Arabidopsis thaliana: one gene and its partners. Each later gene encodes a partner of the first gene's protein in a complex. Each region holds a gene or a part of one and is shown in the gene's direction. Other genes may lie near its edges.

Region 1 (5,976 bases):
GACTGCTTCGTCTCCTCCATCTTCAATTGTTTTTTCGTTAATCACTCTGCAAATTCGAATGATTATATATGTTTCTTTTTTTTGTCTCTATGGTTAATTCTGATTTGAAAGAATTGCACAAGATTTTATGGGTTTCGATTTCTTTCTTTTTTGGTGTTTGCTTCCGTTGAGTTGTTTGTTCAGGTTTCAAGGTTGATATTCTGTTCTTCCATTTTTATGTTTCTGTTGCATGTCAGGATTAGCAATAAAAAACGTAAAAACCAAATAACATTTGAGTAACGAAACAAGAAATAGGAGTTTTGTAACAGAAAGGATTAAACTAAAACTCTGTCACCGTTTCCTAAGAAGATATATCATTATCAAAGTTACTTTTATTATATTGATATAGTAAAACTTTGCTAAACTAGTAAAAACTAGTTTTTCGAAAATAATCTAGATTAGAATTCTCCAAAGACGTGGCTTAATTCTAATCTGTCTAACGTATGGACCATAAAGAATTGTATTAAATTGGTCTTTGAACGAATTTATTCTTCGGCTAAAAGAGGTTATCGGTTGTGAAGTGGACCTGCAATTTCATTTGTTTGTTCATAAGAATATATGAACGAGAACTTAGGTGACCTCTATTTCATATAACTTTTACATACTGCATACTGGTAAATCATATGAAATATGGACTTTTAAAACGAAACAAAAATCACGTATAACCCTATTAGTGTATATAGAGTCTCTGTTGTGTTGAGACTCTGTTGTGTTGAGACTCTATATACACTAATAAACCCTTTTTACTTCTTTGTTCCATACGAATTAAGCTTCAGAATAACAGAATTTAAGAGAATATCGTTATTAACAGCAAAAGTCCAAAACAATTAAAAGGCAGAGTGCTTGTGGAGACGTAAAGGGAATGCAAACTAAGAAGAAGAAAAGTCATTATCGTTAGAGGACCAAAGACTTAAACATTATTGGATTAAGGTGACATCATAGTGCATAGTGCGTTGTACCATCGCGCAAACTCGTGATATTCGATCACGGATTAAAGCCATGATCTATCATTTTCTCTTCTTTCCCCCCTTAAATCTCGTTGTTTTTTCAAATCATAGTGACTGTTGCTTTTCCCATCGAAATGAAAGTAATCTAACAAAATCTACTGTTAGATCATGTTTCTCCGACCAACCAAATTTGACCTTGTCTACATATACACGTGGCTTCACAAATGCGCATCAAGCAATTGGAACTTGGAAGCATCACTATAGTTCTAAACTTCCAATTAAAAGATTGTTAGTCAATCTAGGGTTGGGATCATAGGTGGCTAAGTTTTCGGTTTAACAAATTTTCGAGATCATCGATATAAAATCATAGGATATGTCCTCATCACAATACAGTATACACACACACATAAGTGATTAAGTTATGCATTCATAACATTAATCCAGAAGCTTTATATGCAGACTCGAAAAGTCAACATAAATCCAGCATTACATGGCCCATTTGTCTCCATCATTTTGACCATCATAGCATTTCAGTTGACTTGGAGAGTGACCATTGGTCCATTCTGTTTCTTTTCAAATGAACAATTAAATGTTTGTTCATTTATCAAAAAAATATTTTTTATAAAATTACCTTATGTAATTATTCATAATCCGATTTTTTTTTAATATCACTTTACAAATTTGTTTATGATTTATATGTACAGTAGTACTTTGCTCCGTAATCGATTTCACATGGATGTATACTATTGCCTCCTAATTCTTCCAATATCGGAAAACATGTCTCACCCATGTCTTGTCACAGTGCTCGTTTCCCTTTTTGCTTCTACAATTCCTTATAATTACCAATCCATAATTTCGTTTTATTCACAAATCCAAAGCATGAAAAAAGAAGAATAACGATTCCTTTTCCAAAAAAATGCTTTATTGTCTTATTCTCCTCCTATGTCTCTCTTCTACGTATCTACCAAGTCTATCTCTAAACCAAGATGCCACCATTCTCCGGCAAGCCAAACTGGGCTTATCCGACCCGGCCCAGTCCCTATCTTCATGGTCCGACAACAACGACGTCACCCCATGCAAGTGGCTAGGCGTGAGCTGCGACGCCACGTCAAACGTTGTCTCCGTCGATCTCTCAAGCTTCATGCTCGTCGGACCTTTCCCCTCCATCCTCTGCCACCTTCCTTCTCTCCATTCCCTCTCTCTATATAATAACTCCATCAATGGCTCTCTCTCCGCCGACGACTTCGATACGTGTCACAATCTCATCAGTCTTGATTTATCGGAGAATCTATTGGTTGGATCCATCCCAAAGTCACTTCCTTTCAATCTCCCAAACCTCAAGTTCCTTGAAATCTCCGGAAACAACTTATCAGACACGATCCCGTCGAGCTTCGGAGAGTTTCGAAAGCTTGAGTCTTTAAACCTCGCCGGTAACTTCCTCTCCGGTACAATTCCCGCCTCTCTCGGTAACGTCACGACTCTTAAAGAACTCAAACTCGCTTACAATTTGTTTTCTCCGAGTCAAATCCCGAGTCAACTCGGAAACCTCACGGAGCTCCAAGTTCTCTGGCTCGCCGGCTGCAACCTCGTCGGTCCGATACCTCCGTCTCTGTCCCGGTTAACTAGTTTGGTTAACTTGGATTTGACATTTAACCAACTCACAGGATCTATCCCAAGTTGGATCACGCAGCTAAAAACCGTCGAGCAAATCGAACTATTCAACAACTCGTTCTCAGGCGAGTTACCAGAATCCATGGGTAACATGACGACGCTAAAAAGATTCGACGCGTCGATGAATAAGCTGACAGGAAAAATACCCGACAACTTGAATCTGTTAAACCTCGAGTCACTCAATCTCTTCGAGAACATGCTCGAAGGTCCTTTACCGGAGAGCATAACTCGCTCCAAAACCTTGTCAGAACTCAAGCTTTTCAACAACAGACTCACCGGAGTATTACCGAGTCAACTCGGCGCTAACTCACCGTTACAGTACGTGGACTTATCGTATAACCGATTTTCCGGCGAAATACCGGCGAATGTCTGCGGTGAAGGGAAGCTAGAGTATCTAATTCTTATAGACAATTCGTTTTCAGGAGAAATCTCTAATAATCTCGGAAAGTGTAAGAGCTTGACCCGGGTCCGATTGAGTAACAACAAGCTTTCGGGTCAAATCCCACATGGATTCTGGGGATTGCCTCGCTTGTCACTTCTCGAACTCTCTGACAATTCGTTCACCGGAAGTATTCCTAAGACGATCATCGGCGCGAAGAATCTATCGAACCTACGAATCTCAAAGAATCGATTTTCAGGTTCAATCCCCAACGAAATCGGATCGCTTAACGGAATAATCGAGATTTCCGGAGCGGAGAATGATTTCTCCGGTGAGATTCCTGAAAGCTTGGTGAAATTGAAGCAATTGAGCAGGCTTGATCTCAGTAAGAATCAACTCTCCGGTGAGATTCCTAGAGAACTTCGTGGTTGGAAGAATCTAAACGAGCTTAATTTGGCTAATAATCATCTCTCCGGTGAAATCCCTAAAGAAGTCGGAATCTTACCTGTTCTCAATTACCTTGACCTTTCAAGCAATCAATTCTCCGGTGAGATTCCGTTGGAGTTACAGAATCTGAAGCTAAACGTTTTAAACCTTTCGTATAATCACCTCTCCGGTAAAATCCCTCCTCTCTACGCTAATAAAATCTACGCACATGACTTCATCGGAAATCCCGGTTTATGTGTTGATCTCGACGGCCTTTGTCGGAAGATCACACGGTCTAAAAACATCGGCTATGTATGGATTCTTTTAACGATTTTCTTACTCGCCGGTTTGGTTTTCGTTGTCGGGATCGTTATGTTCATTGCCAAGTGTAGAAAACTCAGAGCTTTGAAGAGTTCTACTTTAGCAGCGTCGAAATGGAGATCATTCCACAAGCTTCATTTCAGTGAGCACGAGATAGCTGATTGTCTCGATGAAAAGAACGTAATCGGGTTTGGATCTTCTGGTAAAGTCTATAAAGTTGAGCTTAGAGGTGGAGAAGTTGTAGCTGTGAAGAAACTTAACAAAAGTGTTAAAGGAGGAGATGATGAATACAGTAGTGATTCGTTGAATAGAGATGTTTTTGCAGCGGAGGTTGAAACGTTGGGGACGATTAGGCACAAGAGTATTGTGCGTTTGTGGTGTTGTTGCAGCTCTGGTGATTGTAAGTTGTTGGTGTATGAGTACATGCCTAATGGGAGCTTAGCTGATGTGTTGCATGGTGACCGCAAAGGCGGTGTTGTGTTGGGTTGGCCAGAGCGGTTGAGGATTGCTTTGGACGCTGCCGAGGGTTTATCATACTTGCACCATGATTGTGTTCCTCCCATTGTGCACCGCGATGTGAAGTCGAGTAACATACTGCTAGATAGCGATTATGGGGCTAAAGTTGCTGACTTTGGGATCGCTAAAGTCGGTCAGATGAGTGGTTCCAAAACTCCAGAAGCTATGTCCGGGATCGCCGGTTCTTGTGGTTACATTGCACCAGGTATAAACCAAAACATATTTCAGCTGCATTTTGTAACTTTTGATCTTATATTAATAGTTTTCAATTTTGCAGAATACGTATACACACTTCGGGTGAATGAAAAGAGCGATATCTACAGCTTTGGTGTGGTGCTTTTGGAACTGGTTACAGGGAAGCAACCAACTGATTCAGAACTTGGAGATAAAGATATGGCAAAATGGGTGTGCACTGCACTTGACAAATGCGGTTTAGAACCCGTGATCGATCCCAAACTCGATCTCAAGTTCAAAGAAGAAATTAGTAAAGTCATTCACATTGGTCTACTCTGTACGAGTCCTCTCCCTCTAAACAGACCTTCCATGAGAAAAGTTGTGATCATGCTTCAAGAAGTCTCTGGTGCTGTTCCTTGTAGCAGTCCAAACACATCTAAACGATCTAAAACCGGTGGGAAACTCTCGCCTTACTACACGGAAGACTTGAACAGCGTTTGAACATTCCAATATGGGCTGAGAATCGGTTTGGGCCGGGGATAGCAATTTGATGTTATGATGCTAGGTGAACTGTAAGAAAGATATCAAAAACAGAAAAGTGGAGCTTTCTGATTAGGTAATTGCTCTTAAAGCTAATATAAAGTTATAATTTGGATATTAATTTTAATTTAACGCAATATTTGCAATATTTGGTGGTTGGTCCACCCAATAGCCAACCTTATTTAAACTCGAGCTCGTTACCAGTTCAATTTTGGAAAACGGATCGATTCTGACGAGTGATGATCAATATTTTTTTTTCTAATTTTTTTTTCATATTCTTATAAAGTAAAACTTAGTGTGGTAATACTAATGCCATTATAAAAAGTAAATTCTAAATAGCCAAGCATAGACAGCATATGTCAGTATAATGTGGTTAGATAGATTTCTTGAATGACACCTTGCCGCGGTTTCGATCCACCAATGAAAACAACAAGCTAACCACAAAATTTTCCAACAGACACAGAAGTGTAACATTTGTTCATAATTTTTTGTTTAGTTTGATAATAAATTAAGAATAGGTTGTATAACATGTGTTTAGAGTTAACAGGGGAGAGCAGAAACAAAAATCAGAAAACAAAGAGAAAAAATAAATAAAGGTTGAGGAGGTTCCTTGTTAATGTTATGCATGAGAAGTCTACGTGAAGAAATAGAATAATGACTAGCTTTTTAACTTTCCATTTTTTTTCTTTTTTTTTCTTTTTCTTTTTATCTATCTAAAAACCAATATTATAATGTTTTCTAACGTATATCACTAATATCAGTATGTGATTTCAGTAAAATTTATGTACATACAGTAATATACTGATGATGGAGATGTTAAATATGTGTAAATTATAAGTATAAGTTTATGTATAATATCTTTACATACACTCTAGGGTGACATTGGACCTTAACTTCTCTTTCTTATTTTTTGTTCTACCATATCACGTCTGAGCTCTCACAGACCAGCAACAACACCTTGCC
Region 2 (3,059 bases), on another chromosome or scaffold:
AGTTTGTATCATATGAGGTTTGTTGCAGGTCAATGTGAATCTTGCCGGACTTCCTGCAATGGTATTACCTTGTGGATTAGTCGAAGGTGGTCCCTCGGGTCTTCCTGTTGGTCTTCAAATGATCGGAGCAGCGTTTGATGAGGTTTGTTATAAACTCTGTCTCTTTGCTTACTCTAAAAGATTAGATTAAGATTCACATGATGATTTGTTGATTGGTTTTAGGAGAAATTGCTGAAAGTGGGTCACATATTTGAGCAGACTCTTAAAGGATCGAGCTTTGTTCCTCCATTGTTAGCCAATGTAGCCTAACCATGTAACCACCAAGGCTCTTTTTGCGTTTACATTTCATGCTTGGTTTAAGCAACGGATTTATCAATTGTAATTGTACTTCAATTCTTTTATAATATAAATGTAGATACACCCCATGGGCCACATACGTATTCTTTCTTCTTCTTCTTCTTGGTCTCTATGCTCTTATTTGGTACTCCTAAATGGGGATGGTTTTTTTCTTTTATTCGTTTTTGATTTATTGGTCCTTGGCCCTTGCCATTGCATTCATGCACTTGATTATTGTTGAGTATCATGATTGATTAACACAATTTTTAAATATGTATATTTTGTTATAAATCTTGAGTAAATAAACTAAAAAATTGTATCAACTGAAAAGAAGTCCTTGCCATTGCATTCATGCACATGATTATTATTAATTATGGTTGTATCATGATTGATTAACACAATATTTAAATTTGTATATTTTGTTATAAATCTTGAGTAAGTAAACTTAAAATTTGTCCACTAGTACCAACACAAATCTTAATAAATGGTCAAAAGCATTACACGTTTCAAATAGATTATTGGCATTTTATAAAATGAAACTCTGGTGCTAGAGTATAAGTATAGACTACTTTAAAATTTCTAGAATAATTCTGAAGAAATCATATGTTATTACCTATAATTATGCAAACATATTAAAATCTCAGAAATCTAGTGGTCCAGACGAATATCTGTCTCCAGTGGACGATCAAAATCCAACGGATCATGCGTGTGCATGGTTTGACATTTACGTCTACTCCGTGAAAGTTGTCACATGAATATATAAACACATTAACCTATGAAAAGAGATTTTTGTTGGACGAAATGTTATGTTAGTTGTTATAACAGAACAAAATTATGTGCTGATAAATAATTTAAATATTAGGTGCCACAAATAATTTGCAGGTGAATAATTAACTATTAAATATGATAAATTAATTGTTTGGTAACCCCTAATAACGGAAATAATTTCTTTAAACAAAACTTGTTTATTTGGCCTATGGACTATACATGGTGGTTAGCTTCAAACTATTTACGCAAGTCCTTCTCAAGAGATCATGTTAAAAAGCTACAAGAAAAAGGAAAATAGAATTTACTTTTCTTTCAAAATCGAAGACCAAATGATTTGATAGTCATTGGCACCTAACTTTGGACTAAACAATCACGTACGCATTGTTCTTTTGTTCACACATAATGTGTATATAATATACAAAGTCTACAACAACGTGATTCTCTTACAAAAATTTAAATTTTACACACATAATTGATGATGAAATTATATTTTACACAATATAATACCAATAATGTTTGATAATTAAATTTTGACAGACAACTAGAGGTAATCACACGTACGTACACCATCGTCCAACGCGGCATTTCAAGTCTTTTATTCACTATCGTAGTATCGTTGACCTTTTAATATTATCACAAAATACTAACATTCCATTACTTGCGCTTCACTTCTTTATTTTTCTTTTGCTTTTCTTGTTTGACCAATCATACAAGAATGTGCATACTTTCATACATGATATATCATATATATACACGCTCATATATACATCTCAAAACTTAAACCGCCTTCTTAAAATCCAAAATTTATAAAACCCTAGCTAATAGCTAAATTAGTGTCTCCTCCTCCTTATTCTTCTTCTTTCTCCGAACATTATATGAATCTTTCTCATAAAACCATGTTTATGACTCTTTATATTGTTTTCCTCTTGATTTTTGGTTCATACAACGCCACGGCAAGGATCGGACCGATTAAGCTTTCTGAAACGGAAATAGTTCAAACAAGATCAAGACAAGAGATCATTGGGGGTTTTACATTCAAAGGTCGTGTGTTCCATTCATTTTCTAAAAGGGTACTTGTACCACCTTCGGGACCTTCCATGAGACATAATTCTGTGGTGAATAATCTCAAACACTAACTGTTTTTTTTTTCTTTTGGTTTAATTTCAATCTCTTAGGATTTGCTTCAAAAATTTTTTGACAATTACATGAAATTGTATTTCGAAAAGATTCTTAAAGTTGTATTTAATGAGTTCATTCACATTTGTAATATCTCGGTTGGAACGTTATACGTATGTATATAGACTATATCTTTCATTATTTGTTATGGGAACAAAAATTCAAATTGATAATGAACAAGACAATTTCTATTCACAAGCTATGGAATTTGCGAATTGTAGAAATCTCTCAGCAGTAATATAGATCCATTGGGATTGCATAAGTGAACTGCATGAGCCCATTTGCGGCCTGCGTCTATTCGTATGAGATGGGCTTCTTTAAGTTTGGCCTAATAATAATAAAAATTCAAAGAATTCACCAGACAGCTCCTCGTAGTGAGCTTCTCAGCCAAATCTCGCTCAACACTCATCATCTTCATGCATGTACTCTACATCCTCACTCATCAGTTGACTCAAAATCAAATAATCAAATCACTAGAAGCAAGTTTGGAATCAGTTACCCTTCAAAGTGAAACGCTTCTCATCAAACCTTCTGATGATTTCAGGGATCTGAAACACCAAAACATTTATGTAATCTTTATCAACCAAAGCAATGAACAACACATGAGAACCAAAGCAATGAACAACACATGAGGACCAAAACATATACGTAATCATGTTGGAGTCTGCTACAAATAGCTTTACAGGGAAGAAACAAAGCATGAATTAGTACATTGACTCTTTTGGATCAAAATGGATGGTACATATCTTGTGATTTATAATTTTTAGCTTGTTACAATC
Region 3 (3,142 bases), on another chromosome or scaffold:
GTTGATATTGGATGTGAGCAGGAATTTCTTATCTGGGGCGTTGCCTTTAAGCGTTGGAGGATTGTATTCTCTGCTGAAACTTGATCTTAGTAACAATTACTTGGAAGGAAAGTTACCTAGAGAGCTAGAGTCCTTGAAGAATCTCACTCTATTGGACTTGAGAAACAACAGATTATCAGGTGGGTTGAGTAAAGAGATCCAAGAGATGACTTCTTTGGTAGAACTGGTTCTGTCCAATAATCGCCTAGCCGGGGACTTGACAGGAATAAAGTGGAGAAATCTGAAGAATTTAGTGGTTCTTGATCTCTCCAACACAGGCTTAAAAGGGGAGATTCCTGGTTCAATCTTGGAGCTCAAGAAACTGAGGTTTTTGGGTTTGAGCAACAACAATCTCGGAGGCAAACTCATTCCACAAATGGAAACCGAAATGCCTAGTCTCAGCGCGCTTTACGTGAATGGAAATAACATCAGCGGAGAGTTGGAATTCTCTAGGTACTTTTATGAGAGAATGGGAAGGAGACTTGGTGTTTGGGGGAACCCTAATCTGTGTTACAACGGAGATGAGACCAAGAACCTTAGCGATCATGTTCCTTTCGGAGTGAACCAATGTAAGAGAATTAAGGCAGATAAATATTAGAACCCTCGTTCTGAATCAAAGGGTTTGTGATAACAAAAACTTGGAATGATACAAAGCTGTGGTCTTTTCAATTTTGTTATTGCATCTTATTTCTATAGCATTATTTTGTTTTAAATTATTTAGCGTATTTACAAAATATAGTTTTGATATCTCGAAGTTCATTAGAAAAACTTCCAAGTATTTTTTTTTTAGATCATACAATCATAAAATTAAATAACAGACTTACCTAGTTTAAATTTACTGTGTATCAATGATTCAATGTATGATACGGTCGGTTCTTACCTAGTTAAAATTTGTTTTTTTTTAGTATATGTAAAGATCTACCTGTTTCCATCAAATTAGAAGAATTGTATGATTTTATGCGACATGTCTAATCGTAGGAGGTATGTTGGAACTTTATTTTATTTTGGCATTTCATAAAGGAAATATAAAAAATTCTATTTAGGTAAAAATAATAATCCGTGACTAAGTCCGATATAGATGCAGAAATCAGGTGGATATCCAAATCAAATTTGGCATAATTTAAAGAAAAATGTGAATCATGGAAAGCCACTTGTCAAGTTGTAAAATTGTGTATAACTGAGTCAACCCTCCAAGCTACTTTTTGTTCTCTCTTTAATTTCTTAAAATACCTTCTCACGCAAAAGATAGAGTTGGTATACATTGTTTTTACGTGTTTTATGCATGCATTTTTCAGTATATTTTATGTGTATATTCGTTTAACTAAATTATTATTTATTCCGTATCATGATTAACCTACGACATGTTATCATTTAGTCTAATCCTTTTACTATACATACGTGTATTGTCTACCACTTTCGTCATTCGTCCAAGGATGATATCTAATTTTCTTTCTGCACGACATATATGATATATTGTGTGCTTAAAGAAAGCTCATGAGTCATGTCTGATATTTGAGTTCGAATTTCGAAAACTAATCTTGCTTTACTATTCATACATCTTGTGATATAGTTACTGTTGAAAGTTGAATAATGCAAAAGAAAACAAAAGATAGCTCATGGTGACGATGCCTATAAAACCATTAATTATTCTTCTTCCCGTCAACGTACTTGTACATATATGATGAAATCTTGAAAAAAACGACCATCCCATCAAACCAGATTCCCATTTCCTAGCATAAAATGGACTTCTATAGAAAAATACAAAGGAAAATAAAAGTCGAAGGCGGTGACTAAAACAACGAGAAAAACTCAAACCTTTGAAAACTTTAGAATTCTTATAAAATAATAAGGAAAATTCAAAGTCTCAATAGCGTGGGATTCACTCCACTCTTACCATTCCCCGACTTCCCCCTCATTTCCGCCACACTTATTTCCAATCAAATCCACACACACACATGTTATAAATATAACACATAGTCACATACATACACATTATTCATTTCATTCATAAGACCCTTCATTCATTTACTCAAAGAAGTGGAAGTGAAAAAATTAGAAAAAGAGAAGAAAAAAAACATTGACTACCAAATGGCTCCGTGTCGTACGATGATGGTTCTGCTCTGTTTTGTTCTGTTTCTCGCGGCGAGTAGTTCTTGTGTAGCGGCTGCAAGAATTGGAGCCACCATGGAGATGAAGAAGAATATAAAGAGATTAACGTTTAAAAACAGCCATATTTTTGGTTACTTACCTAAAGGCGTTCCCATTCCTCCTTCTGCTCCTTCTAAGAGACACAACTCTTTTGTTAACTCTCTTCCTCATTGATTTCATTTTATTTTATTCATTGTATTCTTTTAGGTTTGGTTTTGTAGATTAGATCAACATAGGGTATTATACTCTTTGTATATGCATACGATTTATATTTACTTTTGAATTTGTTCCTTTTTATGTTTATAGACTTAATATATGTTTAAGGTCATTACGGCCATATAAAGATCAAGAAATCGATTAAGCTTTGTTAGCCTTCTACTAAAGAATATTCCATAGACCTCACTCATCATACGCTAATCAAACATATGTTTTTATGCAACTTGTAAGTTATATCATTCGTCTTTCTCAAATAGGTCAATGTTTGAGTTAAGACTTAAGAACGTAATAATCAAACATAGAGAAATAAAATCGATAGGACACATGATAAGTTTATTACTAATTAGGAAAACAGAAACCAAAAATACAATAAAAAAGAGTAAAAGAGAGGGGCATTCCGAGAATTGAACTCGGGACCTCTCGCACCCTAAGCGAGAATCATACCACTAGACCAAATGCCCAATTTGCAACATTCAATCCCAAATCAATCATTAACTCTTACATCTATTAGTCTCCACCACCATGAGTGAAAGGATTGAAACCACTTCCAAACAATTTCTCAAGTGGCCAAAACAAAGGCTTTGGTAGATTCTCCCAATCATACCAATCCCATCCTTCACACTTCTCTGGTTCCATATTCTTCGGTTCTTGACTTGGATCCACCAACACCGCACGTATCGAAACAGAGACGTAGTGTGATGGCGTTGGTGCTTCTTTGAAGACATTGTTTGTAACAGTC

The links.
Region 2: the proteins of HAE (region 1) and IDL1 are in contact, whole or in part, in a crystal structure (PDB 5IYV), measured with the Arabidopsis thaliana proteins. Residues at the interface, in NP_194578.1 of Arabidopsis thaliana: Glu123 (codon at 2,269), Ser147 (codon at 2,341), Gly148 (codon at 2,344), Ala171 (codon at 2,413), Gly172 (codon at 2,416), Tyr196 (codon at 2,488), Trp218 (codon at 2,554), Asn240 (codon at 2,620), Asp242 (codon at 2,626), Gln264 (codon at 2,692), Glu266 (codon at 2,698), Phe268 (codon at 2,704), Arg288 (codon at 2,764), Phe289 (codon at 2,767), Asp290 (codon at 2,770), Ser311 (codon at 2,833), Asn313 (codon at 2,839), Phe315 (codon at 2,845), Glu316 (codon at 2,848), Glu335 (codon at 2,905), Lys337 (codon at 2,911), Phe339 (codon at 2,917), Tyr359 (codon at 2,977), Asp361 (codon at 2,983), Ser363 (codon at 2,989), Tyr364 (codon at 2,992), Tyr383 (codon at 3,049), Ile385 (codon at 3,055), Arg407 (codon at 3,121), Arg409 (codon at 3,127); in NP_566774.1 of Arabidopsis thaliana: Leu67 (codon at 2,178), Val68 (codon at 2,181), Pro69 (codon at 2,184), Pro70 (codon at 2,187), Ser71 (codon at 2,190), Gly72 (codon at 2,193), Pro73 (codon at 2,196), Ser74 (codon at 2,199), Met75 (codon at 2,202), Arg76 (codon at 2,205), His77 (codon at 2,208), Asn78 (codon at 2,211).
Region 3: the proteins of HAE (region 1) and IDA are in contact, whole or in part, in a crystal structure (PDB 5IYX), measured with the Arabidopsis thaliana proteins. Residues at the interface, in NP_194578.1 of Arabidopsis thaliana: Tyr97 (codon at 2,191), Asn98 (codon at 2,194), Glu123 (codon at 2,269), Ser147 (codon at 2,341), Gly148 (codon at 2,344), Ala171 (codon at 2,413), Gly172 (codon at 2,416), Tyr196 (codon at 2,488), Trp218 (codon at 2,554), Asn240 (codon at 2,620), Asp242 (codon at 2,626), Gln264 (codon at 2,692), Glu266 (codon at 2,698), Phe268 (codon at 2,704), Arg288 (codon at 2,764), Phe289 (codon at 2,767), Asp290 (codon at 2,770), Met293 (codon at 2,779), Ser311 (codon at 2,833), Asn313 (codon at 2,839), Phe315 (codon at 2,845), Glu316 (codon at 2,848), Glu335 (codon at 2,905), Lys337 (codon at 2,911), Phe339 (codon at 2,917), Asn340 (codon at 2,920), Asp361 (codon at 2,983), Ser363 (codon at 2,989), Tyr364 (codon at 2,992), Tyr383 (codon at 3,049); in NP_564941.1 of Arabidopsis thaliana: Val57 (codon at 2,296), Ile59 (codon at 2,302), Pro60 (codon at 2,305), Ser62 (codon at 2,311), Ala63 (codon at 2,314), Pro64 (codon at 2,317), Ser65 (codon at 2,320), Lys66 (codon at 2,323), Arg67 (codon at 2,326), His68 (codon at 2,329), Asn69 (codon at 2,332).

The regions. Positions count from the first base shown.
Region 1 is NC_003075.7:14,075,992-14,081,967, forward strand, and holds HAE (Leucine-rich receptor-like protein kinase family protein), read left to right. Parts: upstream 1-1,684; 5' UTR 1,685-1,902; coding exon 1,903-4,504; intron 4,505-4,576; coding exon 4,577-4,974; 3' UTR 4,975-5,466; downstream 5,467-5,976. Other genes in the region: DMP7 (transmembrane protein, putative (DUF679 domain membrane protein 7)), read right to left, coding at 1-20. UniProt on the Arabidopsis thaliana protein: Receptor with a dual specificity kinase activity acting on both serine/threonine- and tyrosine-containing substrates that controls floral organ abscission. May interact with the 'INFLORESCENCE DEFICIENT IN ABSCISSION' (IDA) ligands family.
Region 2 is NC_003074.8:9,336,890-9,339,948, reverse strand, and holds IDL1 (inflorescence deficient in abscission (IDA)-like 1), read left to right. Parts: upstream 1-1,873; 5' UTR 1,874-1,979; coding exon 1,980-2,240; 3' UTR 2,241-2,518; downstream 2,519-3,059. Other genes in the region: AT3G25660 (Amidase family protein), read left to right, coding at 29-142, 223-309. UniProt on the Arabidopsis thaliana protein: Involved in an ethylene-independent separation step of floral abscission. May act with RLK5 and HSL2 as ligand-receptor pairs.
Region 3 is NC_003070.9:25,829,376-25,832,517, reverse strand, and holds IDA (Putative membrane lipoprotein), read left to right. Parts: upstream 1-1,736; 5' UTR 1,737-2,127; coding exon 2,128-2,361; 3' UTR 2,362-2,601; downstream 2,602-3,142. Other genes in the region: AT1G68780 (RNI-like superfamily protein), read left to right, coding at 1-637; NUDX1 (nudix hydrolase 1), read right to left, coding at 2,911-3,142. UniProt on the Arabidopsis thaliana protein: Involved in an ethylene-independent separation step of floral abscission. Promotes abscission zone (AZ) cells rounding. May act with RLK5 and HSL2 as ligand-receptor pairs.